Arabidopsis thaliana: one gene and its partner. The protein of the gene in region 2 purifies or fractionates together with the protein of the main gene of each other region. This does not show direct contact. Each region holds a gene or a part of one and is shown on either strand. Other genes may lie near its edges. The genes, in order: ALATS and VLN3.

The links.
Region 1: the proteins of VLN3 (region 2) and ALATS fractionate together in Arabidopsis thaliana (co-fractionation; one large-scale study listed by BioGRID). This does not show direct contact.

Annotation. Positions count from the first base shown.
Region 1 is NC_003070.9:18,588,551-18,605,505, forward strand, and holds ALATS (Alanyl-tRNA synthetase), read right to left. Parts: upstream 9,930-16,955; 5' UTR 9,762-9,929; coding exon 9,467-9,761; intron 9,202-9,466; coding exon 8,963-9,201; intron 8,658-8,962; coding exon 8,517-8,657; intron 8,165-8,516; coding exon 8,018-8,164; intron 7,811-8,017; coding exon 7,658-7,810; intron 7,268-7,657; coding exon 7,138-7,267; intron 6,887-7,137; coding exon 6,790-6,886; intron 6,632-6,789; coding exon 6,511-6,631; intron 6,196-6,510; coding exon 6,136-6,195; intron 6,038-6,135; coding exon 5,987-6,037; intron 5,918-5,986; coding exon 5,822-5,917; intron 5,697-5,821; coding exon 5,595-5,696; intron 5,449-5,594; coding exon 5,326-5,448; intron 4,954-5,325; coding exon 4,810-4,953; intron 4,723-4,809; coding exon 4,651-4,722; intron 4,561-4,650; coding exon 4,485-4,560; intron 4,404-4,484; coding exon 4,261-4,403; intron 4,177-4,260; coding exon 4,068-4,176; intron 3,981-4,067; coding exon 3,793-3,980; intron 3,694-3,792; and 9 more. Other genes in the region: AT1G50190 (Cysteine/Histidine-rich C1 domain family protein), read right to left, coding at 463-1,528, 1,628-2,249; AT1G50220 (B3 domain protein), read right to left, coding at 14,408-14,792, 15,719-15,840, 15,921-16,025.
Region 2 is NC_003074.8:21,242,080-21,255,714, forward strand, and holds VLN3 (villin 3), read right to left. Parts: upstream 9,081-13,635; 5' UTR 8,903-9,080; exon of another isoform or gene 8,767-8,902; 5' UTR 8,741-8,766; exon of another isoform or gene 7,780-8,740; 5' UTR 7,731-7,779; coding exon 7,675-7,730; intron 7,512-7,674; coding exon 7,412-7,511; intron 7,238-7,411; coding exon 7,169-7,237; intron 7,086-7,168; coding exon 6,849-7,085; intron 6,762-6,848; coding exon 6,584-6,761; intron 6,444-6,583; coding exon 6,311-6,443; intron 6,174-6,310; coding exon 6,014-6,173; intron 5,938-6,013; coding exon 5,787-5,937; intron 5,697-5,786; coding exon 5,596-5,696; intron 5,509-5,595; coding exon 5,350-5,508; intron 4,907-5,349; coding exon 4,838-4,906; intron 4,765-4,837; coding exon 4,696-4,764; intron 4,613-4,695; coding exon 4,475-4,612; intron 4,295-4,474; coding exon 4,166-4,294; intron 4,007-4,165; coding exon 3,859-4,006; intron 3,735-3,858; coding exon 3,724-3,734; intron 3,650-3,723; coding exon 3,509-3,649; intron 3,423-3,508; and 19 more. Other genes in the region: AT3G57420 (transmembrane protein, putative (DUF288)), read right to left, coding at 10,526-11,005, 11,127-11,253, 11,346-13,036. UniProt on the Arabidopsis thaliana protein: Binds actin and actin filament bundles in a Ca(2+)-insensitive manner, but severs actin filaments in a calcium-dependent manner, regardless of the presence or not of VLN1 (AC O81643).

The DNA of each region.
Region 1 (16,955 bases), on a different chromosome or scaffold from region 2:
AGAAATTGTTCTTATCGGAAAAAAGGAGATTGTTAAGTAATTTCCTTAATACTCCCGAAACGAAAAATGGGAAGAGGGCATTGTAACTTGGGAAGAAAGTTATTGATTCAAGGCATCAAAATGAAGCTGAGATTTTCTTAACTTCAGAAAAGAACATTGATACATTTTGCAGTCATATGGTAGAAAAAGAGTAGAAGTTCCTTCCAAGAGGTAACTACCATCAGATCCTTGGAGGCTATACTACTGGCCATGCAAAATCTCTTAGTTTCATTCAAAGTTCTATGTAAATTATGGTTTTAGCTCTAATTCCTTAGAAGCCACCATAAGTGTTTTCTTAATTTAAAACCGAAGTTTAAATTCAACACTACATCGCTGCTTCAGCCTATATTTCCATTGGAGAAGTCCTACCATGGATAATATATATCGAAGAAACACATGATAGTACAATAGTTTTTCCCAGACGTCTTGACTACCAAAGTGTCCACACAACGGCTTCTACATCCATCACACATTGGTCTAGAGTTACCACTGTTGGGTACAATACCAATACTTGTTTTTGCACCTTCGTACATCTTGATCATATGGTTTGGCTTCATGTAGACCTTATCTCCCAGTAAACATGTAACATGAAGAGTGACAGAACAATAGCTGCATGTGTAGAACCACTTTTGTGCATCTATTTCTGATTCACAAATCTCGCACCAATACTGGAGATCTTTTGTCTTTTCTTCTCCACAGCAAAGAGTGAGTGGATGTTTATCGTACTTGTAGTGAGCCACCAGAGGCATAGTAGCACAAGTAAGACACGAAAAGGACCTGCATTCAATACATTCTAAGTACTTTCTTAATCCGGATGTAATCTTACAAACCATGCATTCACCTTCGGTCAAATTGAAGAAGAGAGGGTGATCATGTGGATGGCAGTCATGGATTATAGGATCAGGAAGCGAAGCACACCTTGCATCTAGTTGAAAGTCACAATCCTTTTCACAACACTTGTACATGAAACCACAACATTCTCGGCTACAACCACTACACGCGAAGAAACCTAGGTCATAGTATTTAGACTGGACCTCGTTGAGATGAGGATAGTGTAAATGGTAGAGGGTGAGCGGGTGTTTGTGTAGTGGATGGTGTTTTATGCGAGGAAGGCCTGCACATGTTTCGTGGATGACAAAATCGCATTGTACACAGCTATAGAAGCTATCCGAAACTGTTATCCGAAGGATGCAAGCTTGGCAAAACTTGTTTTCATGGTTGTCATTCCCATGATGAATCTTTAGATAGTGATGGTCATGACTGAAATGTTGTATTGTCTCTTCGTCAATCCTCACGAATGGCTCAATCTCTTCTTCTTCTTCCTCAGGCACTCCATCAAGATCTTTACCATCCCACACTTCATTCTTTGTTGCACATTTCGAATGGACAGCATAGTGGCATCCCTTTTTGCAAGCGTATTGCCCGTAGTTGACGTCAACGAGTTTGCGACAAACACCACAAGAGAGCTCATCACCAGAAGGAACAGCAACTGAGGAAGTGTGAGAGAGTCAATGCTGGTGACGGGTGATCTTAATGACACGAGGTAAGTAGATACATCTTCTGTGTACCATGTAGTTACAAAGCAAACAAGAGTAAACTGAATCATTGCGAGCGTCAAGTGAAAAACCACAAGCATCACAGGGCAAAGGGAGTAGTCTAGGAAAGAGGGTAAGAGTGTGTTCATGGCTTTTTAGGTTTTCAATAGTATGAGGTGGTGAATCCTTTACGCAAGAAGAGTGTAGACTGAAATTGCAGATAGAACAATGATAATATGTTATATCAAAAAACGAAGGATAGTCTGGGTCGCGGTATGTGATCTTTTTCCGACAAGAGTTGCATCTTTTATGATTCCCATCTGAAGCACATTCTTCTTCATCTCCAAACATATGCTTGTATGGATATTCCGTGCTTAACAGAAACCAAATTTCAGGGATCGCAGAGCTAACAAGATTATGATCTAAGAAGGTGAGGGTGAGAGGGTGGATGAGGTGGAAAGGGTGTTTGATTTCTGGAGGAAACAAGTAACAACCTTTGTGGAATTCCAAATCACAAGTAGCACAATAGTAATAGTACCCACGCCTATTCCCAGTGTATTGTTGGCCTTTGCAGGAGATGCAAACGGTGAGCGGTGGATCAAATCGTCGGCCAAGTTTGTGAGGCTTTGCTAGATCAGACATACGACACAAGGGCTTACTTTTGCTTCCGTCCATGGCTGTAGAATCTCTCAACTATGAATTCTCTTGCTTTAGAGATAGAGATAGACTTCCTTACCCACTTTGTAATGATTATTTTTCAGCCAGCTATATAATAAAGGCAGGAGCTAACTCGTATCTGCCAACTTGAGTTACTATTGCTGTCCCAATTACACTTTTTCGTTATTTTCTTATGAGTTATTGAATTGAAACGTTTTTGTCTTTTGAAATTATTTCTCTATATTTTAGTCTAGGATTTTAGGATTTAGTTTTTTATCTACTAGTAACATATATATCACTGTTTTCAGAAATGTGCAATTCATTTTCAGTCAATCCAAAACAAATTTAAAGGAACTTAGGTAAATCAATTCAGTTTTATGCTTTTGGTAACTAAAGCCGACCAGTCCATACCAAATCCTATTTTTTTTTTTTAAATAACCATTTCAACGCAAACGGGAAAGGATCATTTCACAAGGGATTATAACAGCCATTGGTAACTTTGACTAAAAGAGTGTGATACCACAAATTCCATCACAAGAACAGAGAAATTTAACAGATTCTTAAAACATGTGTAAAACGGTGTACAATGAAAGCAAATTAAGTAGAGGTTATTCTGACCTCACAGATTATGTAACCTCCCGACCAAATCAGTTGAGCTTCATTGATGCAAATGATGAAGCCATATCCAAAGCCGCCTGCACTTGAGAAGCATCCGTTCCCTAAAACCAAAACAACATGTTGAAGATTTAACATCTCTTTGTAGATGATACTATCACATTGTAGACTAAAGAGAATAGGACTCATACCTGCCCTGATGCAAGACCACCTTTCCCTTTCCCGCACCTTCCTTTTAGAGGACCCAATGCAGTTGTCAACCATTCAGTGACGTCTAACGGCTTAAACTGGTCTGATTTTTCTGGCACTCCTGCACACACAACCGCCTTGTTTGTGCTTTCATCTGTGCTGAACACCATTATCGACATACCCTGCAAGGTTAATCAAACGGAAACGTTAATTTAACTTTCTTGCTATCTATGAACAGGTTATGGTACAAGTGATGATGTAAGAAAATACGGATTACCTTCTTTTCCATGACTTTTGAAACGGCCTCTCGCACAGCTGCTGCATCAAGACCCACATCCAGCTGGATTATGCAGAAAGTCTTCCCATCTGATGCTGCGGACTCAGCTGCCTCTGTTGCTAATTTGACAGATTTTTTCAGGTTTTGTTCCGCTATTTTCTTCTGAGCTTTTCTTACTTCATTCTGCGAAGTTAGGAAAACAATAATTGCCACTTCAGAATTGCTTTGATTACAAAATTACAGGGAAATCTAGACAAAGCTGCTGACTGTAAGGCTGAAAGAGCTTATAACCTGAAGCGAAGCAATCTTAGTCCTAATATCTGCCTTTTTAGCTGCTGGGATAATTGCTGCATCTACTCGGCTTTTCAAAGCAGAAACTTTCTGTGAATGTGCAAATACAAACACAATAAGTTTTACGTGAATCCAAGTAACGACATCGTCTTCATTTTGTCAATAGTTTGACAAAGAGAGGGAGAAAACCTTTTCCAATGCACTTCCCTCCGCTCTGGAGGCATCCTCTACTTCTCTTTCAAGTAAGGACGCCGCATTCAATGCATCAAAAGCACATTCAGTAGTCACAGCAGTTACCCTACGAATACCTTTAGCAATTCCCTCCTCCGATAGAAGAGCAAATGCTTTGGCTTCGCGGGTGTTTGTTATGTGGGTTCCTGGAATTGTCAAAATAACCCTATACTCAACATTCTATTCAGAACGTAATATCTTGGTCCCAATAGCTAATGCCAATGGAAACAGACCTCCACAAAACTCGGAAGAAAGCAATGACCATTCATTGTTTTCAGGATCAGCCAAGAGATCCTCAACCTTCCTCCCAATTGACACCACTCTGACGGGATCGGGGTAGACCTAAAAAGAGTAAGAGAGAACGCTTTAACAATTCTTAGAAACCAAACTAAAAAGGTATAGCTACAGAACTGATGGACAGCTTACTTCTCCAAACACTGCTCTTAGACCTTTGATGCGCTTGGCTTCAGAAAGCACAGCTTCCTTGGAAAACACATCTAATTCATCCTTGATCTGTTTATTCACTATGGATTCGATCCTTCTCAAATCTTCAGGATCAACCGGCTTGCCTACTCGAAATTATGGAACCCATCAGACAATTAAGATGACCATCCACATCAAAATAAAAATGACTTTATTCAAAAATGTACCATGAGAAAAATCAAATCGCAGTTTTTCAGGAAGAACAATTGATCCCTTCTGATCAATATGATCCCCGAGCACTTCCTGAATTCATGGGACATGAATATTTTCAGATCCAATAGAAAAAATTAGAAAATCACAGTTTAGGTTACTTAAATTATAGAAAAGGGATACCTTCAGGGCATAATTCAACATATGTGTGCAAGTATGATTAGGAGCGATGAGTTTACGCCTCTCATAGTCAACCTATACGCATGAAAACGAAGGTGGAAACAAATTGGATAGTACCAAATATGGTGAATGAGACAAACACTGTTTGATGCAGAGAGTTACCTTGCAAATCACTTTATCACCCACAGATACCTCTCCAGTTTCTTTAGAGAGATAACCAATGTGAAGAACAAAGCCCCCAAATATTTGTACATTGCATACATTGAATGTCCCAAACGAGCCTTCTATAAGTCCAGTGTCAAAAATCTATTGCCAGAGAAAAAATGTTAGAGGCACAGAGTTTATATACATATAGATGATTGGAAGTGAATCAAAAGCTTAACCTTGTTCATGGATATGAAATCTAAAAATATTTATGTGACTGTCAACGACAACTTCAGAAATTAGTATGCAAAACCAACAATAACTATATCATGGTATTTGCCAGCCGATACATAAATTCAAACAATGCAGTTCTGATATGATTGTGTTCATGGTGTTACTGCCATGTCTACATTTGTATATATATACAAATCCAAGATGAACATACTGAAGACTGCAATTTCATGCCACCAGTCATATGATCAGAAATGAAAAACAATTAGCAAACTAAAATACATATCAAATAAAATGGATTACCTGACCACCCTGCTCAGCATAGAAGCTTGTAGACCCCAATACTAGTCCCACGTTATCACTAGCAGCTGAACTTTCTAGGAAAGTAGAGCCAGTATAGATTGCCTTTAGTTCACTCTCGTGGTCCTGCAGCGATATGTGGCAGAGTACCAATAAAGGTTTCTTTAAAGCAAAATCCATTTACTATTATATGCCCTAACTTCTTCATTTCTACGCCAACATAAGAACATTTCAGGTGCAACATGCAAGTTTTCTGGAATAAAAGGACAAACCTGGAACCAAATGTATTTAAAAGAATCATCTGTTGCTGAAACACCAGCCTTGTGCAATGTTGATGTAGCATCAGCATCCATAACAATGGCACCACCAGCTTGCTATAAAAAAATGACATTAAAAGATTGGTTAATAGATGATGTGATTGCAAACTTCGTTCATAGTCACACGTAAGTTTGGCATTAAACGCTCTTTAAGAAAGTAAACAAGAGGAAAGTTGAAACACCTTATTCTGGGCACTTCTCGATCTTTCCCTCGCCTCTTCCATGGCTTTGTTGAAACCATCAACATCAACCAGTAACCCTCTTTCTTCAGCCATCAACTGAACCCCGAGAATAAAAGTTAGAAAATAACACGAACATTCAGAAATAAGTATAAATGACTTACGTACCTGAGTTAAATCTAACGGGAAACCATATGTATCCCATAAGATAAAAGCATCCTGCAAAGAGAAGACAACATGTTGAGATAGAATTCAAACATCCCAGATGAAAATACTGCAACGCCTAACATACATCACAAAAATGATTCGATACGTACATCTCCACTCAGTGTATTCCCCTGAACCGCCTGTCCAGCTTTCCGAAATTTCTCAATTCCCTGCCGTGAAAATTTATAATCAGTCTAACTGTTCTTATACTCACCACCTATTCACATAAAAAAGGGAGGAACGACCAGGTAAAGCCAATTCATCTTTCAGAAAAAAGATTCCCTATAGAAAATACTATAATTATGTCTAACCATCATTAAAACTGAACAATGATGAAATTGGAAACAATCTATACAGAAATATCACATGCCACTGATTGAAGCTGTGAACTGTCTCTTTTACTTCAGTGCGACGAGCCAGAAGAACCCAAAACAAAATAAGATAAGAGGTTCAAAGCTTTGACGGAAATTAAATCCAGCCCTTACCTTTGCCAAGGTCTTGCAAAAGCTTGCTTCCTCTTCTTTAATTATATCTGTGATCTTTTTCTCATGTTCCTTCAACTCTGTAAAGACATCGCCCATCACCCGAATGACAGAACTTACAAGCCTACAGGTAATATGAAAGCCCGAGATAAAACATGTGTCAAAAAAATATGCTCATTTATAAAGATACAAGACAGAAATAAACGTTCCAGCTACAACGAAACAATATTTGAAACAATATTCAAACAAAACATGCAACGAAAATCAAACATAATTTCCTACCCGTTGAAAAATCCTTCTTCAGCTTTTAGGATCTCCTTTCCATAGCGAACCGCTCGACGAAGAATACGCCGCAGAACATACTCACGGCCCTCATTACCTGCAAGAGATAGTATATTAATTGGTACTTGTTAGACTACAAGAAATAACAAACCTCTATTTGTATAACATAACAGATTGTCTGAGGAAGAAAATTGACAAACTCATCATGCCCAACTTAGAATAAATGAACCAAAAACACTTTTTCTGAGAACATATAAGTATGAACTCAAATAAATGATTGAATACTAAGACGATTGTATTTTCTGTAACCACCACAATTGTGATTGAGACAAGAAACCAAGTATATACCAGGACGAGAGCCATCCGCAATTGCAAATGATAGGGTTCTAATATGATCAGCAACCACTCTATATGCCATGTCAACTCTGTCAACATCTTCCGGACCAACTTTTCCAGAATATGGCCTAGCTCCCGTTGCCTAAAAAAGTGAAAGCATCAACACCTAAACTTAAGATTCGCAACAACTAGGGTAAACAGAGCAATTTGAAGATTTTTTCAATCCTCTCACTAAGAAAAATACATGAAAAGTGACACAGCTAACAACGAATAATCTCCAGGATACCCATAGTAGAATGCCTTTATCATGAAATCCAAATTCAATAAACCAGAAATATTCAAAAACAATTGACGGAGTCTCGACGTAAAGCATAGAACCCATGATCCACTTCAAAATTGATGAACTAAAATGATGATAGTACTAATTAAGGTGACAAATGCGTCCCTAAGAGGAGGCCAAACAAAAATAACTCAATGAAACCATCATTAAACAGCTGTCATGAAACCATCAACAGAAGTTTTCACAAATTACCTTTTGGATGTCATCAAAGATAGGCATGAACACATCTGTATCATAGTTGCTCATTTTGTTTTGAAGAACAGAAGTCAACCTCTCGAAGCCCATCCCGGTATCAACATGCTTAGCAGGCAGAGGTTTTAGCGAGCCATCACTTTCTCGGTTGAACTATTTTGAAGACATAAGTAACATCCCAGTCAGAGGAAACAATTGGGAATATGATAGCACAGCTAAAGGAGCAATAACAATCTAGCTAACTGCACAATATAGAGTTTTCAGTAACACAATCTACAAAATCATTAAAACAATTGTGATATTGAGATAAAGATTAGTAAAATGGAACTAAATAACAATTGGGACAGAGAGGGTTTGTACCTGAATAAAGACAAGATTCCATATTTCTAAACATGTTGGATCGTCATTGTTAACTAAGGATGCAGCATCACGGTTACCAATGCGATCATAATGTATTTCAGTACAAGGTCCACACGGACCTGTGTCGCCCATTTCCCAGAAATTGTCCTGCAGTTTAATCAAAAGTTAAATGAAAGAAAAACAGCATTTAAAAACCCTTAAGTTTTACATTTTGTACAAGATTTTGACTGTAAATCATAAACAATGGTTTTTAAAGCCTGCCAACTACCAAACATGATAGCGTATTCCTAGCCAAAATGCATTCAAGCTTACAGTTGGTTGTCGTTAGCATTGACAAACAGATGTGTCAATATATACAAGAAACAATGGTGACAATACAAAGGCAACTTAGCTGAAGTACTTGTGAAGTAACCTCAGGAGAGAGGAAATCAATGAGTAGTGGATTCAAAAAAATTAGGTAACAGATTAAAAGTTATTATCTTAAATAATCAATACATACTTTGCAACCAAATGGCAGCACACGTCCAGATGGAAGAACCTTCAACCATATATCCCTAGCCTCATTATCAGGTTGAAGGCCAGCTTTCTCATCACCGCCAAAATATGTAGCGTAGATTCGATCAGTCGGTAGCCCATAGACCTGAGGCATGAAAACAGGGAGGTATCAACCTCAATGAAATAAACAACCTCAACGAAAAGAGAATAGTAACTTTACAAAATTATGAAATACTGTCACAAGGTATCTAACTGAAATGTACAACCAAATGAAAAGAGAAGAATCACTTTACAAAACTGAAATGTACAACCAAATGAAAAGAGAAGAATCACTTAACAAAATTGAGACATACCGTCCCAAGGGAGGGAGACAATAGTTTACTGAATAATACCATGTATATTTTTCTTAAATCAAGTAAACAGAGACAAATTTCCCAGGTATTTAATTACCTTGGTTAAGAGCTCCCAAGCCCATTCGATAGCTTCCTTCTTGAAATAATCTCCAAAGGACCAGTTACCAAGCATTTCAAAGAAGGTGTGATGGTACGTATCTTTGCCGACATCATCCAAATCATTATGCTTTCCACCAGCACGAATACACTTTTGGGTGTTACATGCCCGAGATAGCTTGCTAAGCTCAGTATTTGGATCGGCCGTACCCAAAAATATTGGCTTATACTGGTTCATTCCTTGAAAAACAGAGAAGTTTCAATGTCATTAATAATTCTATTTTTCGCCAGACATATCAAGAGAACTTAATTTACATAGCTCAGTATCAATATCAGAAAATTTCGACCAAAACTGAAATTGAGAAATTTGAATAAGTCCCAAAGCTTCAAAGACAAAAGAAGACAGAATAAGTCAACTCTATAGAATCTGAATTCCATAGATCAACTTGGACAAATTCCCAATCTTATCGGCAAAAACAGATATGAGGAATCGAAGTTATCGTACCAGCGTTAGCGAAGAGAAGAGTAGGATCATTATGAGGAACAACGGGGCTTGATGGCCAGAACTTGTGGCCTTTGCCTCTGAAGAAATCGACATAAGTATCCCGGACTCTCTTTGCTGGCCACTGAGTCTCCGATGGTTCGGAACCCGGCATGACTGCGACGGAGGAAGACGTCGACGAAGAGGAAGAAAAACGGAAGTGAGAGAAAAAAGGGCGGCGGAGATGGGAAGAGTAAAAAACCCTAGACGGAGGTTTGGTTGAAGAAATCAGAAGAGAAGCTGCCTTCACTAATCTCATTCAAACCAATAAAAGACCTTCTCTCTCTCCTCCTATCCTATTTTCTACCGTTAAAATTTATTTAATCCGATTCCTTTTCCGCAAGATATATTATTTTAAGGGATAATACTTAAAAAATAAAAAAAGTAAAATTTGGAAAATACATTTTGTTCATCAAAGGATAACATTAAAAAAAAAACGAGAGTAAATTTTGGTTCTCGTTTAGATAAACTGTTGGGTTTGCTGCCACTAGCCGTGAGACTGCCTCGCATGTTATTGTTTGTTTCGTTGTTGTTGTTGCTGTTGTCGTTGCCGCAAGTTTTGAATTTGTTTTGCTGCTACTGTTGCAAATTTTTGTATTCGTTTCTCAGATAATACTATAGTTTTACACGTAATTTTTTTTTTTCCAATCAACCAAATGTAATTCTAATATATTTTTGTTACTTGAATTTTTTTCATATTTGAGTTTTTCTCTTTTTATTATGTGGATTGATATGATCTATATATAAAAATTATTCTTATTCTTGTTAAATATTAATCTAAATACTATTTTTATAGTATAAAAAATGAATGATATTATTTTGATGTAAACTACCTAAAATTTTATAACAATAATGAGTTTTTACGCTATTGATCAAATTGGGTTGGATGGATTTCTGTTACATATTGGTTACAGTTATTAAAAGGGAAAAATGTTATTTAATACCTCAACTTTCAAATTATGACAGTTTTATACGTTAACTTTATATATGGTCATTTTAAACATGAAGTTATCGTTGATCACCATTTAAACCATGAATATTTTATTGACCAGGCCAAAAAAATTAGTCGTTAACGGATTATTCAACTCCCGTTAACACCTCCATTAACCATTCTAAACGACGTCGTTTTCGTTTTTCTTTAAAAAGAAATGACAGACCTGGGATTCGAACCCCTATCATTTGAGAAAAATCAAAGGTCATTTGACCACTCTACCTGCAAAGATTTCTCTGTCATTCTATACAAACACAGATACTTATATACGCTTAAAGTTCTTCTTCTTCATCTTTAACGAAACAAAACATTTCCATAGTAAAGCTTCCATTGAAGAACACCTCCGATTTTGAACACTTCGATTTCTCCATGGACTTCTACCATTTAATACAAGCCTCATCAAGCACCCCTATTCATTGAAGAACACCTCCAAACCTTTTTTTCCCGCCAAAAAAAAAAAAATCCCGCCAAAAATAAATTTCCCGCCAAAATTTTTTCTCGTAAATTTTGTTTCCCAGCAAAAAAAATGCTTTTAAAAATCCTTGTAAATTTTTTAAAAACTCTTTTAAAAAACCTTGTAAAGTTTTTTAAAATCTTTGGTAATTGCTAAAAACCCTTGTAAATCATTTTAAAACCTCTTAAAATCTTTATAAAGTCTTTAAAAACATAGGTAAATACTTTAAAACCCCTTTTTAAACCTTTGTAAATCATTTTAAAACTTTTTACAATAGTTTTACAAGATTTACAATCGTTTTTTAAGCATAAGTAAGTGGCATTGAATGATTTACAAGGGATTTTGAAAACTTATAAAAGGGTAAAACATGATTTACAATCGTTTTAAAGCATAAGTAAGTGGCATAAAATGATTTACAAGGGATTTAAAAAAGGTTAGCATGGTTTACAATCGTTTTTTAAGCATAAGTAAGTGGCATTGAATGATTTACAAGGGATTTTAAAAGCTTATAAAAGGGTAAAACATGATTTACAATCGTTTTTAAAGCATAAGTAAGTGGCATTGAATGATTTACAAGGGATTTTAAAAGCTTATAAAAGGGTAAAACATGATTTACAATCGTTTTTAAAGCATAAGTAAGTGGCATTGAATGATTTACAAGGGATTTTAAAAGCTTATAAAAAGGTAAAACATGATTTATCATCGTTTTTAAAGCATAAGTAAGTGGCATAAAATGATTTACAAGGATTTTTAAAAAGGGCTAGCATGGTTTACAATGTTTTTTTAAGCATAAGTAAGTGGCATTGGAATGATTTACAAGGGATTTTAAAAGCTTATAAAAGGGTAAAACATGATTTATAGTAACGAAAACGACATCGTTTAGAATGGTTAACGGAGGTGTTAACGGGAGTTGAATAATCCGTTAACGACTATTTTTTTTGGCCTGGTCAACGAAATATTCATGGTTTAAATGGTGGTCAACGATAACATCATGTTTAAAATGACCATATATAAAGTTGACGTATAAAACGGTTATAATTTGAAAATTAGGGTATTAAATAACATTTTTCTCGTTATTAAAAAGCAATATATCTCTGCAAATGGACACACCAAAAAGCCAAACACAATTTGATCAAATTACCATCATTACTCCAAATTATCATCGTTATTCAAAGTATTTCAAAGTTAAGACATAAGTTCGCAAGAAGACACTTCACATATCCAGCTACAGATGATAACTGGATGAACCTGTAAGAAATAAAAAGTTAAAAATGAAAGTCAGATACATCAACAAGAACCAGTACTAATTCGATTAGAGTCATTCACATCTAAAATCAATCTGAGTCCAGTTTTCAAAGAACACAGTTTCAATCACAGAGAGGCAGAAAAAACATACTTGATCAAGACCAAAAACTCCAAGAAATGTTGCAAGTTATGTCTTCAGTAGACAAAATAGATGCATATAATAAGAGACTAGCCATAGAGAATACTTGTGATATAAGAAGAAATCTGCAAAAAAAGAAGAAAAAATATTATTATTTTTACAGAAGGAAAAAAGATCTCGGATGAACTGATTCAGAAAAGTATTTGGACACAGAAAACTAGTAGTCGTTCATCAACGACGGAAGTAACTCCCTAGTTGCAGCAACTGCGTACCGCATATCCCTTAAGAGTTGTTTCTTTTCCAGCTGCTCATTTACAATGGTGACAAACTTGAGAACAAAAGAGAAGCTAACCTCAATATGCAGCATTGGTCGCTTTATATGCTGATCCCAGGGGTGTGCTTCATGAGCAACAATTGAAGCTAACATGTGAAGAGAGTTGGGAGCTGTTGGAGAAAATTTCATTATCTGGAAGAGAAAATATAGGTAATCATTAGGCTCTAATCTTTCTGCAGCATATATACTATCATACTTGACACACTTATTCACCTGATATGCAGAGCCAATGTTGGTTAAGAAAATGGAGGAGATTGGGAAGCAGATAATTGTAAGGTGTGGAGGTTTACCTCTAGCTATAACAGTTCTTGGAGGATTTCTGGCAATGATAAGTACATGGAACGAGTGGCAAAGAGTATATGAGAACATCAAATCATATGTTTCAAATGGAGTTAGTAGCAATGGAAGTAAGAACATGCTAATTGCATATGTTGCAATAGTAAGAGACGACACAAGCAAAAAAAAACAAAAACATTCTATGCATGCTTTCTTGAAATTCAAGGTATTCCAATTAAATAAAAACTACAACAGAAATTAGGGTAATAGAAAGAAAAAACCGAACACTTAAACTAGAATATGAATAATGGATTTAAAAAATATACCATTTTATTATATAAAATACAATAAAGAATTAATTTTACAATTAATTATTAATCCTAAAAGAAAAAGAATTCTAAATACTCACCTCTATATAAACTAAACAAATAATCTGTTATGTTCTCATCAAACAAATTAAAAAGAACTTTAAAAAACACCATCAATTGATACAATAAAACATGCAACGATTTGAATGGATGAATAATTCAAGCTCCGAGTTAAGCAGGAAGTTCCGTGAAGATAACGTCCAAGTTGATGAATGATTTATATTTTCGCCAAACAGATTTTCCATCACCAAAAAGTAAGGTGTCATTTTCGATAGGTTTGCTTGGGATATGTTTCTCAAGACTGTAGACGGAGACATGTTTGGTAAGAGATTTTCTGAATCTCAGCTACAATGATGAGAATCAGAGAATACTCAACTTGCGGGACGAACATGTACAGCTTGGAGAGGAGTTGCGGCTCTTGAAAAGGAATATATGCCTCATTGTGCATGATATCTGGGGGAGAAAGATGCTTGGAATTCTCTGACATAGGTTTTCTTGTGTGTTAAGCAAAACCTTTCCTCTGGTCTATCTGAACCAATAAGTATAAACCTGAGAGAGAAGAAAGAGAGGAAATAAAGTTCTATTTCTATCAAAACGCCATATTCAACACACCAACGCATCAAAAGCTTTCTACCAATGAAAAAATTCTGGTAATTGAATTACCGTAATTCCCTACACAAGTCACATGTGTAGAACCAACAACTCGATCAGTCAAAACTTATTTCCCTCTCACACTAACGTTGGTGCTTTCATGATTACTCGTATTGTGTGATCTAAGAAGAAAAAGGTTTCAATCCTATATATTTTTGAGATTCAGTGTATATTTTACTCGATTCAATGTTTTTGAGATTGTGATATATTTTACTCGATTCAATGTTACTTTTTTTTTTTTGTAATTATAAGAGATGACAAGAAATATAACAAAAGAAACAGCTATGCAGCTTGCTCTCTTGAAATTCAAGATATTTCAATTAAATTAGATTTAACAACTACAACATAAAAATTAGGTCAAACAAAAAACCAACACTTAATTAAAATATGAAAACGAAAACATAAGTAATTAAAGCAACTAAATATAGGAAGATAGATGTAAGCAAGCTACACAGGAATCATTATTCCCATAGTCTTATGCTGAAAATTGAGAACAATGAATTTGTTTTCAAACTGATCCCAATAGAGCTTCTGAACATCGCCTTCTACGAGATCTAATGAATGCTTCATAGTACTCCAACCAGTCCCGAAATAATACTTCATGTCGTCAATTCTTTTCAGGGTAACTGTGTACAGATCGTCTTCCATTATGTCGTGGACTTGCACTTCAAAACCGTTGTCCAAACCCTCATCTGTGACACCATTCATCCTCGTGAGGACAGACATCACTTGCGCTTTTGGTAATGCCACATTACCAACAATGTCACTCTTTGTTAGAGTCTTTGATATGATCATAGCCCCGTCTAGTTCATCTCTAGCATAATTCATCTTGCTAAAATTTTAACCCTAGATCTTTTGCAAGTAGAAAGAAAATTTGTTTATATTTCGTGTTCTTAGATGTAAACATATTTATAGGAGGCTTAACCCAAGAAGAAAGGAAAATACAAGAGAAAAGGACTCCAATTCTTCCGTTAACAAAATAGAAATTTTTCTTATCGGAAAAAAGGAGATTGTTTAATAATTTCCTTAATACTCCCGAAACGGAAAATGGCAAGAGGGCATTGTAACTTGGAAAGAAAGTTATTGATTCAAGGCATCAAAATGAAGCTCAGATTTTCTTAACATTTTTTGCTAAAATGTTAATATTCATATAAATGAAAGTTCGGACTTACATATTGGAGTACCTAAAACAAATGTAATCTTGACAAAAAAAAGGTAAAAACAAGATTACAATAATTTTGGAAAAGATTTGGGTAAATCTATCGGATCCATCGAATCATTAACTTCTTAACTTCGGAGAAGAACATTGAGTACATTGATACATCTCGCAGTCATATGGCAGAAAGAGTAGAAGTTTCTTTTAAGAGGTAACTACCACCAGATCCTTGGAAGTTGTACTACTGGCCATGCAAAATCTCTTAGTTTCATTAAAAGTTTATGTAAATTATGGTTTTTAGTTCTAATTGGCTAAAACACATAACACTAATTCCTTAGAAGCCACCATAAGTGTTTTCTTAATTATAAGGAACTAGTAAATCAAATTACAAGCGAAAAAGTCAAAAATCATATAATCTAATGTTCGTCAAACGGATTGCCTAATGTTCGATTGAAGAAGTCTTCTCTGCTATTCACTCGAGACTAAGTTAAATCCTGAAATCAGATGGTAATCAAACGGATTGCCTAATATTCACTCGAGGCTAAGTTAAATCCTGAATTGTTCTAGCGAATCGAGAATATAATAAGCTGAGAATTTCTTACCTCTCAGTAATGTATAGTTCCTTAAACCTAGCCGAGGTTACATCTAAAGTTACATTTTTGAGACGAGAGATCATGGGATGGAAATCATCATCAATCATATATTCATCCAACAAATCCGGCTCCTGCAAACAAACAAATAAACAGTGATTTCCGGAACTTTTGTTACGCCATTTCTATGACAAGTTATATATAATGAACTTACATATATTGACATGACGGCTAGATAAAGTTTGATAGCTTCAATATTCTTGAGGTAATCGTCGTCTTTTAAAGATGCTAGCCACCGGTCCCAATGCTTTATCTTCATTATCACGTAATGGTTTGGTCCTGAACAAAGAAAAAAAAAACATATGATAAGATCATAAAGAACTAATGTCACAATGAAAACTGAAAAGCAATTTGAATAAGTTAATTAATGCCAAAATCAGATAAATAAAATCGTTAGTCATTCTCATTTTCACAGTAAAAATATGAAACACAGAATTATTAATGATGAGACTTAAAAGGTACATACATGTTCCTCCTATGATCCGAAAAATTTCTGAAATGCCTACAAAATTTTGGAGGCTATATATGCTCATCTTTATTATATCAATCCAAAGTGTAGCCACTTTCTCACCAAAAGAAGAATCTCGAACAGAGACTTTAAAAACATTAAACATCGGATCAAACCTATTAAAACCCTTGTTGAATCAATTTAGGTGTTACATCTTTGAGAGAAACAGTAACCGAAACAAATTAAAAATTTTACTTGGAGGTGGGGGTTTACATGCACGTGCTTTGCATTTCTTCTTCAAGCCTAAAGCAAACGCGGACGCATATAGCAGAGAAGACGTCTGCAATATGCTTTCGTGTGCAAGCAAGTATGATTTTGGCGGTTGGGAAGTTTTACAATCGTTTGATATATATCATGCACGGGTAAATGTATAAACTACCGTATCCATAAATTATTATCATATTAGTCATTTTTAATTAATCGTAAATAAGAAATAAATAATAAATTTAATTAAAATTTAAATTAAATTAAATAAACGAATAGTAGCAAACATAAATTAACTGTTCGGTTGATGGACGTTAACGTTTCGTCATCTTTTAAAGATATATAAATTTGCTTATTTTATTGTGAATTTGAAACCATTTCCTTTTGCTTAAGATTTCTTAATGATATCACTACAAAATTGATGAGTTTAACATCAGTTTAAAAAAAAATCTTAATATCATTTTTAAAATGATGCTC
Region 2 (13,635 bases):
TATGCATGTTTGTTTTATATGTGAAATAAATCAGTATTGATCAATCACAGTAATAAATAATCATTTTTTAATGTCTTTCTTTTCATTACATAGGAACTTTTTAAAAAGTATTTTCCTTAAGAAACAAAAGTATATTTGTTAATATAATTCATTATTAAAAAAAGAATAAGCTGGACAAAAAGGAACCGACACTCTTTCTTCCACACACGTGTCGATCGATAATTGGTTATACAGGATTCATTTTCCTTTTGGAGTGTGGACCCTCTACCTTAGACAGAGAGTTCGTGCAGAGACTAATATGGCTGCTGCTGACCTGTCTCGCTCAAAGCAACGTCGTCGTTTTAAAATTTGCCCAGCTCAAAAATTTAGACGTAAATTCCAAAGATTGTTTTTGTGGTCGATTCTTTTAGATCAATGTGACGATAGTGACGACGATTGTAAGAAAATCAATATTTTGAGGTTATAAGAAAAAAGATTTTAGATCAATACATGTAAGTTAGTGAATGATTTTTGTTAGTGTACTATTATCAGTCGGGTTAAATCGGTATGAATATTTTTGTATAAACGATTTCGCTGACAGTTCGATAAACATAAGTGATGATTAATGCGATCTTACGTTGTTTATGGTTTATTAGTTTAGTTTCTTAAGTTTGTGCAACTAGTGAGTAGTGACTATAAATGCAGTTCGTATAGTCAAAAGCAAAAGTCGTAAACATTCTCGATGTGGTAACACTGCATAATCGCAGAATGTTTGCGTGTGGTTTATTATCATTATTACCTTGAGAAATACTAATGCAACATTTGCGTAACCATTCTGATTCCCAACTAATTGTGTTCCTTGATTTGTTGTTGCACAGTAACAAAAAATGAAAATGTTACCAAATTTGTGGGAGACCAGGTCAGACATAAATGTGGTTGTTGTTGCTCTATAATTTCCTTTCTTTTCTGGTCATTTCATGATTCTGATCAATAATTTAACTGCATTTACTTCGACACACATATCTGTCATGTTCATGTACTATGGAAGCTTTGCTAGCAACATACATAGAACTAGAACAACAAAATCAAATGGTGTCTCAATTGTCAAACGAATCCAACACCAATATATTGAAATTTCATGAGTTTACATGTAGACACTGTTCTTTTACACAATCAAAATAATGTGCAATCCAGATCAAAGAATTTACTACCCACCACCACACAACTGTCCTGACCCAAAAAATGAACGCATGTTTGACAAAAAAACAATCATTACAATAACACACCATTTTGTGGTTAAGAATATGAAGAATCAAACCCAAAACCCACCCATGAGAAAGAAGAAATATATTGAAAAACCAAAACAATAAAAGAGTAAAATTGAAGGAAGAAAAACACAAGAAACTGTTCATTGTCTTCATAGCTGCGGCGCTGAGGTCACTACATAACCAAATAACACAATGGCATGTTGCTCTTAGTATATATCTGACATGGAGGATCATGAGATCTAAGGATGTTTGTGATGTTTCCACCTGCTAATTTTTTTTGGAGAATCCTTAGAATAAGTTGAATTTCTTCTTCAGTAAGTCTTGTTTCCATCCAGGCAATTTGTAGAATGATTCTTTCTCCATCCCAAATACAGTCTTGAACTCTACCTCAGACAGGTAAGCCTGATAAATTGGTTTGAGGAATAAGATACTGACAACTTATGCTCAAATTAAGACGAAAGAAAAAGAACAAAATCGGCTCAATTTTGATTCACCTCTCTGCGTTTGAAGTCAATCCCTGTCACGGGTTTCTCAGATTTGGCTTGTAGTCGTTCGTAGGTGAAAGTTACTCCAGTTGTTTCTACTTCAGAATCATCCTGCTTTGGTTTTGCTTCCTCAGCACTCGCTTCTGCTGCAGGTGACACTTCCTCTTCTTCCTTGGCTTCAGTAGCTTCTTCGGTAGCCTCCACTTCTGAGAAAGCTTTCTCATCTTTTGCTTCAGCTGTAATAACCACACATACTCACAGTTATTAGCGTAATCAAACCAAGGCCAAAAAACGAAAAACAAGCTCACGATATTTAGTTTAAGCGCTGGTATCAGGTGAAGAACTAACCAGAAGGGCTGGTATCAGGTGATTTCTTCTTCTCAGCAGTGAGAACTTGGGAAAGAGCAGCCACTGCTGCTGCTCTTTGTGACGCCTGGCTTGTCAATCCTGATCTTCGGGGAGGTGACTTTGATGATGGTGAAGAATTGAATGCGGATGTTAAGGCGGCTAAAGCTTCAGCCCTTTGTCTTGGACCCCCTTGACTTCCATTTGATCTGTCTCGGCTCTGCAGTTAAAGAAATGAGCGTCTAAGTCAACATATCAAGAACATGGGACACTAGTAGCTGTGATTTGAGAAATTATTTGATTGCAACTCAAAGGTTTGCGTAACTCTGAGAGATTCATGAATGGGAACCCCAGAAATGAGTCCCAGAGCCTTTTTTTTTCCTTCATGATATGCCAATATCTTTGTATATATATGTATCCAAAAAAATCTAGTAGAAACATAAAATAATGAGCTTAAGACTATTTACCGGAGAGCTTGTTCTCCCAGAAGAAGAATTAAAGGCAGAAGTCAAGGCAGCTAAAGCAGCAGCCCTTTGCCTTGGTCCTTGGTTCCCACTGCTAGACTGATCCTGCAGCAGAAGGTAAATTATAAACCAACGTTCCAGGGATGTAATATAATATATTACAAAGGAGAGGCATCAACAACAGTTTCTTCCATCGTCACATATGTTCTTATCTGCTACGATTAGACACAAAAGCAAGGAAACATAATACGCAGGTATGTAGTATCTCCAACTTTCCCCAGTAAGCATCATAACTAAGTGTTTACCTCCACAACGTGGTGTGTACCAAGTAATAATGCTGCCTTCTTCTGGTAGGAATTCCCTTGCACCTGTATGACAGGTAAACATACCAAAACTAAATTTAATGAGACAAAGAAGTGGAAGTTCACGAAAAGTCAATGACAATCAGAGTTAATGTCGTGTGTTCTGGCAGCTTTCCCCTCAGTTTAAATGTAAATCTTTCCTCCTCTATAAACGCAGAGCTTCCTCAGTTTTATATATTCTACAGGTCATTTTAACAAAAGAGATGTGATCACTAACTGCATTCTATATAAGGGTGCTGAAAACAGAATTGGTATTTGCATACAAGATTGCTTTTAAATGAGTATGTTCCCAAACCCTCTCTAACACAATCACATTAACTACCACCCTAAAAAAAAAGGGACCCCCTTCTCATACTAATAAACCAAAAGATATCTGCGAACAGAAAACCTTACAGTAGCTTTAGTAGAATCCCATGAAAAATAAGTGGTGAAGAAGCACGGTTCATTTCCCTCAGTGATTTTGTATAATGGAACTTTTGGAGACAAGCCTTCCAGCGAACCAGCCAGATTTATGTATCTCTGCGCAAAACTGTACAATGAGCAAACAAGAGAGAAAAGAAGGAGGAATCACTATGCTGAGAAGCAAAACTGATGAGGCATATTACTTGGCCAATCTCAAAGGCAGTTTGTTTTTCCTTAGGGTCCACACATTGACCAACCCAGACAAAAACTTCAGCATGAGTATCTAGTAAATGCATTTCCTCCGTCAAGAGGTCATCTTGATCAAAGTTGTGAATCTCTTCAACCTGTGCAAGGTAATATGTTAAAACATGCAACACATCTTGATAAAAAAACGTTGGATATTTTTCTAAATTCTCACCTGAAACTTTCCTGAGGATCCATGCAGACACATGAAAAGAAGAATGAGAAAGTTAAAATATGCAAGTATATCAACAACAAAAATGACCCTATTAGATGCTTTGACCCTCATAATTGATGTCTTGATTTTAATTACCTCTGTTGAAGGAAAAGGAGAACAAGTGAGGATCCCTGACAGTCTCAGAGGAAACTTTCTTGCTGGTGAAGTTCTGTTTTCCCCCAAGTGCAAACCAAAAGGATGAGCTCTCTGTTCCCTCTTTTGCGTGCTTGATAGTAGTCCCAGGCTGACTTAGCAAGAAAGAAGATGATTAAGTTTACCAGTTACAGAAAAGTGATAAGAAGTACGAGTGAGTTTTTATTTAAAAGCTTAATAAAAATTATACCATTCCTACTTGGACAATTTCAGCTAAATTAAAATCAAAGATAACACCATTAGAAACTACCTTTAAGAATTCAGCAACTTTAGCAGCCAGTTCCTGCTGCTCATGCGTACTATGGTTTCCAACCCAAAGGAACATGGAAGTACCCGATTGCAGAAGGAAGCAGTCATAGGAGTTCAAAGAAGTTGCCACCTGCGGAAAGGATTGCACAAATGTCACAGACAATCGCAGACCTGTGTATTCTTAATACAAACTAAACAACATCTAGGCATCAATTTCAAATTCTAACATTACACGAATAGGCAGCCAAGTTTTGAACAGTGTAAGGTAGAAAAAGCACTTAGCAAGAGATAAAGAAAGGTAGAAAATTACCGCTTCAACTTGTAGAGCCTTATTATTGTGAACTCCAGTTCCAGATACTTGAATAAGTGCAATTGATTCCGGCGTGTAGGTTTCGCCTGACGAACCTTTCTCTGTCATACTATTTTTGTAACCAGAGCTCAAACCGCCCTAAATGTTAGTGTAACTATATCAATTACCAATACATTTTCTTGCAGCAACAAGCATTCTGTATTAACAATCAAAAGAAATACCTTAAGGACAACCATATGTTGAAAAAGTGCAACAAATTGTGGAGGCTCTTTACCCTCAAATATACGGGCCTGCAAGAAGATCAAGTTATTCAACAATCTTTCACTGCTAGTGGCCATTACTTACAATAACAAAACATGGTACCTGCACTGGTCTTCCCTTCAACGAATTTGTCATTGTGCTCGCTAGACGAACTGCTGTTTCTTGATCCTCCTAAACTCGGGAGAAAACAAAATTTAGATGGCTAAATATTCAACATGTTCAAATATATACATAATTGAAAAAAATGATTAGATGAAATCTACCACAATATGTACCCAAACTTTGACCACCACGTCAAAAGTTGAGAGGCAACAACTCATAACAATAAACTACAATACTAACAGCATCCCTCAATAGCTAAAGAGTAAAACTGCAGCACATTTACAAATATGAATTTTGAAACATCTTATAGACCCAACCAAGTTTCAATCTTACTTATAAAATGTCTTACAAGACAAACCAGGAAGAAGCTAAACATGCCGGCTTTGTCAATACATTATGTCTTACTATCCTCTTTCCAGTTATTAAAAGAGCTGAAAATACTAACAGAAGAAATAGGGACTTCCTTTTTATATGAACAAAAATATCAAAGATGCACCTTTTCACGTGATTACCTGATTACTATTCTTTCCAAACCAACAGCACAAGAAGTAGTCTTCTTTCCTTTCACCAGAATGGTAGGTATAAAGGACCAGATAGCAGTCCCCAGAATAAAGTTTTCCGACATGATCTTTGGATAGAACAGTCTTGGAGTTGGCATCAATGTACCAAACCTGTTACATGAGCTTAATGAGTTTGGATGAAAATAACCAATTAGATTGAGCAAATAACAGCACAACAAGTCAGAAGACAGAACAGACCTCCAACTTTCCACCTCCTTCAAGCAATGGTGGAATATCCTCATTCACTGGTGTGCTTTTTGACAGGCCCTTTAACCCAACACCTTGTTGCTTAAGTAATGCTAGACAATAGGAAAAGTACCAAAGTAAGTCAGGGATAAGAGATCTTTCATTGTTTTATTAATAATTTAGAGTATCAAAGCAATCTTTACCAGCGACTTTTCCTCGTCCTTCTTCATTAGCAGGAGTTGCCGAGCCTGATGGCCAAGAGTCAAAGTTAGACTTGAAAGAATGGGGCTCATAACCTTGAATAACACGGGTTATGCGTGTTGCCTTTGGCCTATTTTCACTAGCAACAAAATCCTGTAGAGGAAGGTAAAAATGAGAACCAATCCTCAGATATTCTAAGGCTAAGCAAGTTAGACGATTCTAGCTTTACCTCAGCAGCTTGGATAGCAGTTTTTCTCTCTTCCACTTGAGTTACTCGGCCAACCCAGATAAAGATCTCAGAACCGCAGTCCAAAAGGTAGCATTTATTGTTTTCTAGCATAGATTTGGACAAATCGCCGTCTATAGATTCCACCTGACCATCAGCGATACTAAAATAGGGCAACTATAAATCAACATCCATAAACGAGTAATACATAAAAACAAATGACTATTAAGTGTTTACAACATTGTTTAAAGCAGAAAACATCTGAAAACCAATAGAGCAGATCAAAAGGGAGACAAGTACCTATAAAGCTTAGGCGGAGTTGTCTCCGGAATAATTTCATCCTCACTCGCAACTTTCCTTGCTATTGGAGCAAACCCCCCAAAGAGGACCCAGAACTCGCCAGAATCTGATTCTGTATCTAATTTTCCATCATCTGTTATGCAAGGAAATTATTATACATGCATGAGTACCGCAATAAATTGATTGAGCATCCAACTGCTGCTTGATTGACTGATCAAAACGTGAAAAAGAAGATATTCAAATATTAGTTGTAATGCGTCTAATACAACTTACCAACAATAGCAACGTCAGAAGTTCCTTCATGAAACTTGTCTTTCAAATATTGAATGACTACCAACGCTTTAGCTCTCTCTTGGATATTTGAATTTGCACCATTAAACTGATAAATCTTTTCCTTGGTGTCCAAGATAAACACATCATCATGATTCAGAGATGAGCGTGCAAAAGGAACCTACAAAAGAAAAGAGATAAGTATATACATATTAAACACTCATGCGAAGAGAGTGTAACACTTCTAAAAATCTGCAGCAAAGAAAACCTGCTTCAAGTGGACAGCACGTTTTCCTTTGCAGGTATACAGCCGGGTTTCAAACTCCTCCTCCTCCGGTTTTTTAAATCCAGACGCAACACCACCCTCTAGTGGTATAATGCAAGGCTTGAAGTAAGACAAGAATTTGTCAGATTCATGACCTTGAATTTCACGATATTGGACAGCTCGGCCTCCAAGAGCTGCATCAAGTTCAACTGTCTTGACAGCTGCTGTTCCAGCTTCATCCTGGAATTATCAATCGCAGATTAGTAATAATGACGATTCAAATTTAGAACGTAATATATGCTATCATGCCCAAAAATAAATACCTGGCTTGTATCTTTACCAATCCAAAAATGTATATCAAATAGATAAGCGCCACCCTTATTCTGTGTGGTCTGCACATATGAAAGCTAATCATGATAAATGTGAAAGATAATAAAGGAGCATATATTTTATACATATGATCAGACAAGAAAGCATGTTGTCCTGTTCTGTAAGCTAATATCTTATTATCTATTCTTGATAAGAGTCTATAAAAAGGGGAGAAGAAGAGTGAAAAAAATCAAAACCTGCAAGACAATGTAGGTATCTCCCATATAGAACTTTCCATGTTCAGACTTTGGTACTGGGACTGGCTCAAAATTTTCGATTCTCCAGATTTCAGTACCTCTAAGAAATGTTAAAGTTCAACATCTCAGACAGCAGTAAAACATTTAACATTACCAGCAAACTGGTGCATACAAAAGAGATAGCAACAACAAATAGCATCTTCCTCTCTGTAGGAAACAATTATATTGCTTCCCTTGAGATCTAATACTTTTTGAAAGGATACGGTTTCTGCCCCACTCCTTGAAACGCAGGATCCAATACTTTTGTTGACCCAGACATTTTGTATTAGTGGCTAATCTCTTCCTTCAAGAGAAAATACATAAACGACCTGCCAAAAACATAGAGCAAGCATAAAAAATAAGAAGGTAAGAGATTGTTTTATAAGAAGAAACTGGCGCTTGGATAGGAGCCTAAAAAACACTAAAGAGCAACACAAAGGTCTAGCTTTTATAATTGAATTTCTAAATGGCAATCATATATGAGAGAATATACAGTATTACGTAGAAGCATGTTTGAGCAATATATTAACTCTGCAACAATCTGAGTACTCAGTTCTCTCCCACAATTCATTATTATCTGGAAATCATTCATAATAATGGTTCCTCAGGGAAAGTAATTCAAGGGGTTCAAAACTGAGCCTGGCTATCACTCGGAGTTTCATGTATCGCTATAAGCTCTGTTGTGAATATACATCTCTAGACATGAGAAGCAGAGGAAATGCAAATAACTCTTATAAGATCAGCCTCGATGATTACTGAATCAAACCTTCCTTCTGGCAAACATCTCCCGCCACCAAATAATCGAAGTAATCAATTAAACTACAGTAGTCAGGCTCTAGAATGATCTACATATAACCTTCAATTCCATGTGGATCTCAACCATTTTCACAATGAAAGTCCAAGACTTGAAACAGTGATCCAACTTTGCAGTAATATTGGTACACACTCGCGAATCCACCACTTGTTTTGGTTTAAAGATCAACGCAAACTTCAATTCTGTCTTAGCTTACTTTTAACTGAATTTCGGGTCAGAAAATAATCCGATGATCAACTTGTTCGTTCTTGTTTCTCAACGGATAGAGCCTTACTTTTGAGAAATACTAAAGTAAGCTGATGAATGCATGACCACATAATCAGAGAACCAAAAGAAGAAAACAATCAATTTTAAAGCAGAGATCAGCAAGTACAAAGCAGACCGAGAAACTCAGATTCAAGTACAAACAACCAGAGAGAGATCCAAAAAACGTTAATTTGAATCGAAATCAGCTGATCCAAACAAACCCATCATACCTGAAAAGACAGATCTTCGAGTAGCGCTGAGGAAGACAAAGAGATGGGCAAAAAAGTAATGGAGAGAGATCAGGAACAAGAAAACATGAAAAAGAAGAGAGAGAGGAAAAAGCGAATTATTGAAAGGAGATGTGTGCTATGTTATAGCATCTCTATACAAACCTTTCGTGGAGATTTTGTGATATAAGAGTAGTATTATTGCGTAGACGAGGCGAGGAAGAAGAAGAGACAGAGAGGTTTGAGGAAAGACGCGAGCGAGACTGTGATTTATTTTTAAGGCAGAAAGAGAGATTAATTATAAAATATATATATATATACAAAATGCACCAAAGAGATAAACTTAATTTAACCATAAAGTGAATTTTAATTTGTCAATAATTTTTGCAGAGTAATTAAATGGCATAATATTGGAATTTCTCATACATGATAAATGTGTGATTGGTGAAAACAGTCAGTTTCAACAATTTGGTTTGTTCATGTTTTCTCTTACTATTCACAATTAAGAAATCATGCTGAGCCTTTTGAAAAAAACAAAAAAAAAACATGCTGAGTTTGAACTTGGCAGACGATGTTAAAGATCGAACATAAAAGGATAAAGAAAAAGTTTGAAGCATATTATAACAAAATGCACACTATTATTAGTAATTTTAATAACATCATCATTTCAAGACGACGACATTGGGTCCATTTCGCATGTGAATAGACACAAACAAACTCTTTTAAAAGGATACATTTTTATGCATATGAAAACTTTCAGTATCATCATAGAAATACACTAATCCTTTTACGGGATCTACTACAATCATAGGAAATCTTGAAAACAATCATATATATATGGAACAACATTATTCGATATTTTGATCATCTTTTTATATATATATATACTCATATATATATACTCATTTATTTGGTATTTATCGTTATATTTCTAGTGTGTGTCTATATATTCCTTTTAGACATATGAAAAGAAGTAGAATATTACGTACGTGCAGAATGATGGCGGTCACCATATCTACGCCGGTGCCGACCAATTAACCTCAACCAATATTATATACTTTTGCTAACCTCAGAGTTGTTTCATCAATATTTTACGAAATACCACTATCGTTTATTTTTTGGAAAATAAATGATGCGTTATAAGAAAAGTAGTAGTATATATTAAGAAGCAAAGCCAACTCATCATGAAGGCAATACAATGACAACTCAAAAGAAAAAATTAGAAATTGGTCGCTTTCATTACTCATGCAGTCAAAATAATCCATATACTTTGAATATATGTTGCCGGTTCGAAGCAGATGACAACGACGTGATTTTTTATTTATTTTTGGGTCATAGAAGATAAGGTTACTCGACTCAGTACTCCAAGTGGGATAGGAATATTTAATTTCTTTTCTCAACCTCAAACGGATTTTTTTTTATTTCAAGTAAAACGGATTAATTTAACTTGGATAAAATGTATTCCAAAAAAAAAAACCTTTATTCACTTCGTTGACCATTTGTTGTGTGTTGGATGAAACAATGTTTTGCCGTCAGAGCAATGCGCATAGTATAAGCGTCACAATAACACCGTCTAGTTCAAAGTGATTATTATTCACGATTGCAAGTGACCTTTCTTCTTCAAAACATTTTAACTGAGAAAGTTATAAACATCACGAATTACATGGAGAAATTACATCAAGAGAACCAAAAAATCAATGAAGCATTTTTTTGTATAACACAAATGGTAAATCTGTTTCTAAACATCCTTTCATCGCTGCAGCTACTTACTCTTGTTTTGACTCATCATTATACCAATTCCATCAATAGCGGATCACCTTCCGCCATCTCCCTCACCAATTTAATGAAATCTTGTTCGTTCGAGATGCTCCAAGGATGAACTGCAGGTGCTTCCGCTGAATACAAACTCAAAGAAGAGTTTAGCGAAGCTGGTTCTGACTTATATACCATTGAGCCTAGAACCGGGTCAAAATTCTGAGGCGAATCCATCGATAGGAAGAACATAGGCACAGCAACTTTGTAATGCAAATCCATATCACCAACGAGATTAACAAGATCTGTAAAGTCTGAGACGAAGCGTTTAGGGACATAGAAAACTTCCGAGCTGCACATCGTTAAGCTTGTGCCATCGCTATTCTTTGTGGCTTCCTTGTAATTGACTTGGAAATGAACCGGCATTGTACTGACAATTTTCTTGACTAATTCCGCCTGAACCGAATACCAATCCGAGTTCCCGGCTGGTCTCACCGTTGTCCATGACTCCGTTACCTAAAAAAGGGACTCTTTGTCATAAAACCGAATCCAACCATAACTCCTCAAACCAAACATTTTTTAAAATCCAATTGGTACTATTATATTTATGCTGAACAACTAGCTACTGAATGAGTACCTTGTCTGTAGTCCAGAGCTTGGTTTTGTCAGCTTGAAGTAAATTCCAGTAATTAAGAACTGTATCATCTTCAACAAACACAAATCCGTCAGCGCTGCTGTACCGATCAAATATCTTCGGTAGCCGCCTGAAATGGATATAACAGAGCTACAGTTAGAAAGCTCACATTGGTGGAAGAATAGGTTGAAACTGAGATTCTATGCAAGTTTCCTTGATTACTTGTATATGTGATCGAGTTTAGCTTCTTGGACGTAAAGGTCTGAGTTTTTCCGAGAGGACAAAATGACCACGGTTTTGAATATCCGCCCATAAAGTAACCTCCATTCAAGAGCAGTACGTTCCACAGGTCCGTTACAGAACATTATAAGCACTACATTCCCAAAATTCTTCCTCCACTTAATCAAGTTCCCAATTTCAGAACTCACTGTGCCTATCTCCTCGACCCCAAGATGAACCGAAGGCAATTTCCTAGGAACAAACTCTTTTCTATCTCCATGACCAATGGTTGCTCGTGGGCGGTCCAACTCAAGTGACATTAACCGAGGCTGCTGGTATCCGACCATAAGCAAATCCTGGAGCCAAGCAGCTGTGAATTTCACATCTAGCTCAGTCCAAAACCCTTGTTCAGCCATAACAAAGCTCAAATCAAGAATCGTCTCGAAGAACCTATGCTTATTTGATCTCCAAGCAAGCAAGAATTTGATCAAACGACCGACATTGATATGGAGATCTTTCTCATCAGAGAAAGGGTAAGCTTCGACTCTATCATACCGGTGAACAGTTGGTGGATAAACAGCAACATAACCACCAAGCTCCCATAAAAGCCTTTGTCCCCAGTAACCTCTAATCACATCTGAAGCCATGGAACTAACCGAAACAGGAAGCATTAACCCCCAAAACGCAGAGGAATGGTACAATGTGTTAAACGAATTCACAGGCACCATCATACCTTGAGGCAACGCCACTTTAGGAGAATGCTCATCGAATCTGATATCAAACGGTTCGAAAGTCGTCTTCCTAGTGGAATAATACACGGAATCAACATCCGGCAAACCGTTGGAAATCCCTTGCTGAATAAACTGTTTACCACCAAAAACCTCAGTGTAATACTCTTCATGATTGATCTCACCTACATTCTCTAATGGCAAACCTCTAGGCCAAACCGATCGTTGCCCGAAATGGATATACGGATTCACCACAGTTCGATTCGGGTTTTCGTGACTATACTGTAAGATTGGTTCTTGCCTAGCGTCTTCTCCAACTAACTCTACATCAAAATGTTTCCCAAGATCTCCATCAATCACTTCACCACGATCATCTGCATCAAAGATCTTCTTTGCACCATGCTGGATCGCAAACAAGTAACCGACACTTTTGCGTACGAAGGAATCATAAGGCAAATGATCCAAAATCCGGTAATTAAGCTCAGCTTGAGCATCTAGAGATAGAAAAATCGCACCTTTGAGATTCCAATCTTTAGGTGTTAAAGAGTTTCCGATCGCTAGAACTTGCCATCCTTTAATCTTGACCAAACCTTTGAGCTCCTCTGTTGGGTGCTTTGTCACCGACACAACGATCCATTTCTCTGTACGGAAACTAGCGTAAGGTGAGGTTTTGTCGGAGACGATTTGGATCGAGTTCCAGTTGATTTGAGGGCGAGTGAGAGATTGAAGAGATTGAGTTGATTGGGATTGGAAACAGAGGAGAGAAGCAGTGTCGGTGGTGTTGTAGAGGAAGAAGAAAGCAGCGACGGTGACGATGAAGAGGAAGATGATTACGATTCTGTAGACATTGTCGGAAACCCATGAAGAGAAATCTAGGATTTTGGGTTCAGCGAATCGGTCCCGACTAGGAAGTTCTCTGATCCGAGATTTTGGTGGCTTAGGAGCCACACGATCTTGAACCAACATCAGATTCAAGCACTAAACCTCCAAAACCCAGACCAAAACCCAGAAGCAAGACTCTGAATTCAGATAACAAAATCAAATCACAAAGAGTAGTGTAGGTTTCCTATCCAGGGCAAACAAAGAGAGACTCTCTCTGCAGGAAATCGGTTGTTGTCGGAATTTGGAGGTTGCTTATGCTTCAATTCAATGCAAACTGCGAAAGCGAAGTCGTTCGTTGAGCTGCGAGGTCAATGTCTTCCTCTTTTGGGAATTTCTTAGTAATTTTTTTTTTTTCCTTTGTTTGTTCTTTACGTTTTGATTACTGAAACACTACAACAATGCCCACATCACTCATCTATCCTTCTATGTACAAAGAGACAACAACTAAAGAGCAGATCTGTAGGACCAGAGAAACCATCACATGATGGAAAAGGTACATATTAACTAAAGGCTGATTAGTTTATTAAATTATCTAATTTATTTTCTTAATGACTACAGAGACCAATAAGTACATTTAATACTAATAATTTTGTTAAGATCAGTGTGTTCAACTGTGTGTTATACTGTATAACTTATACAAGAATCAACACTTACAAGATATACAATGAAGAAAAAAGAGAGTT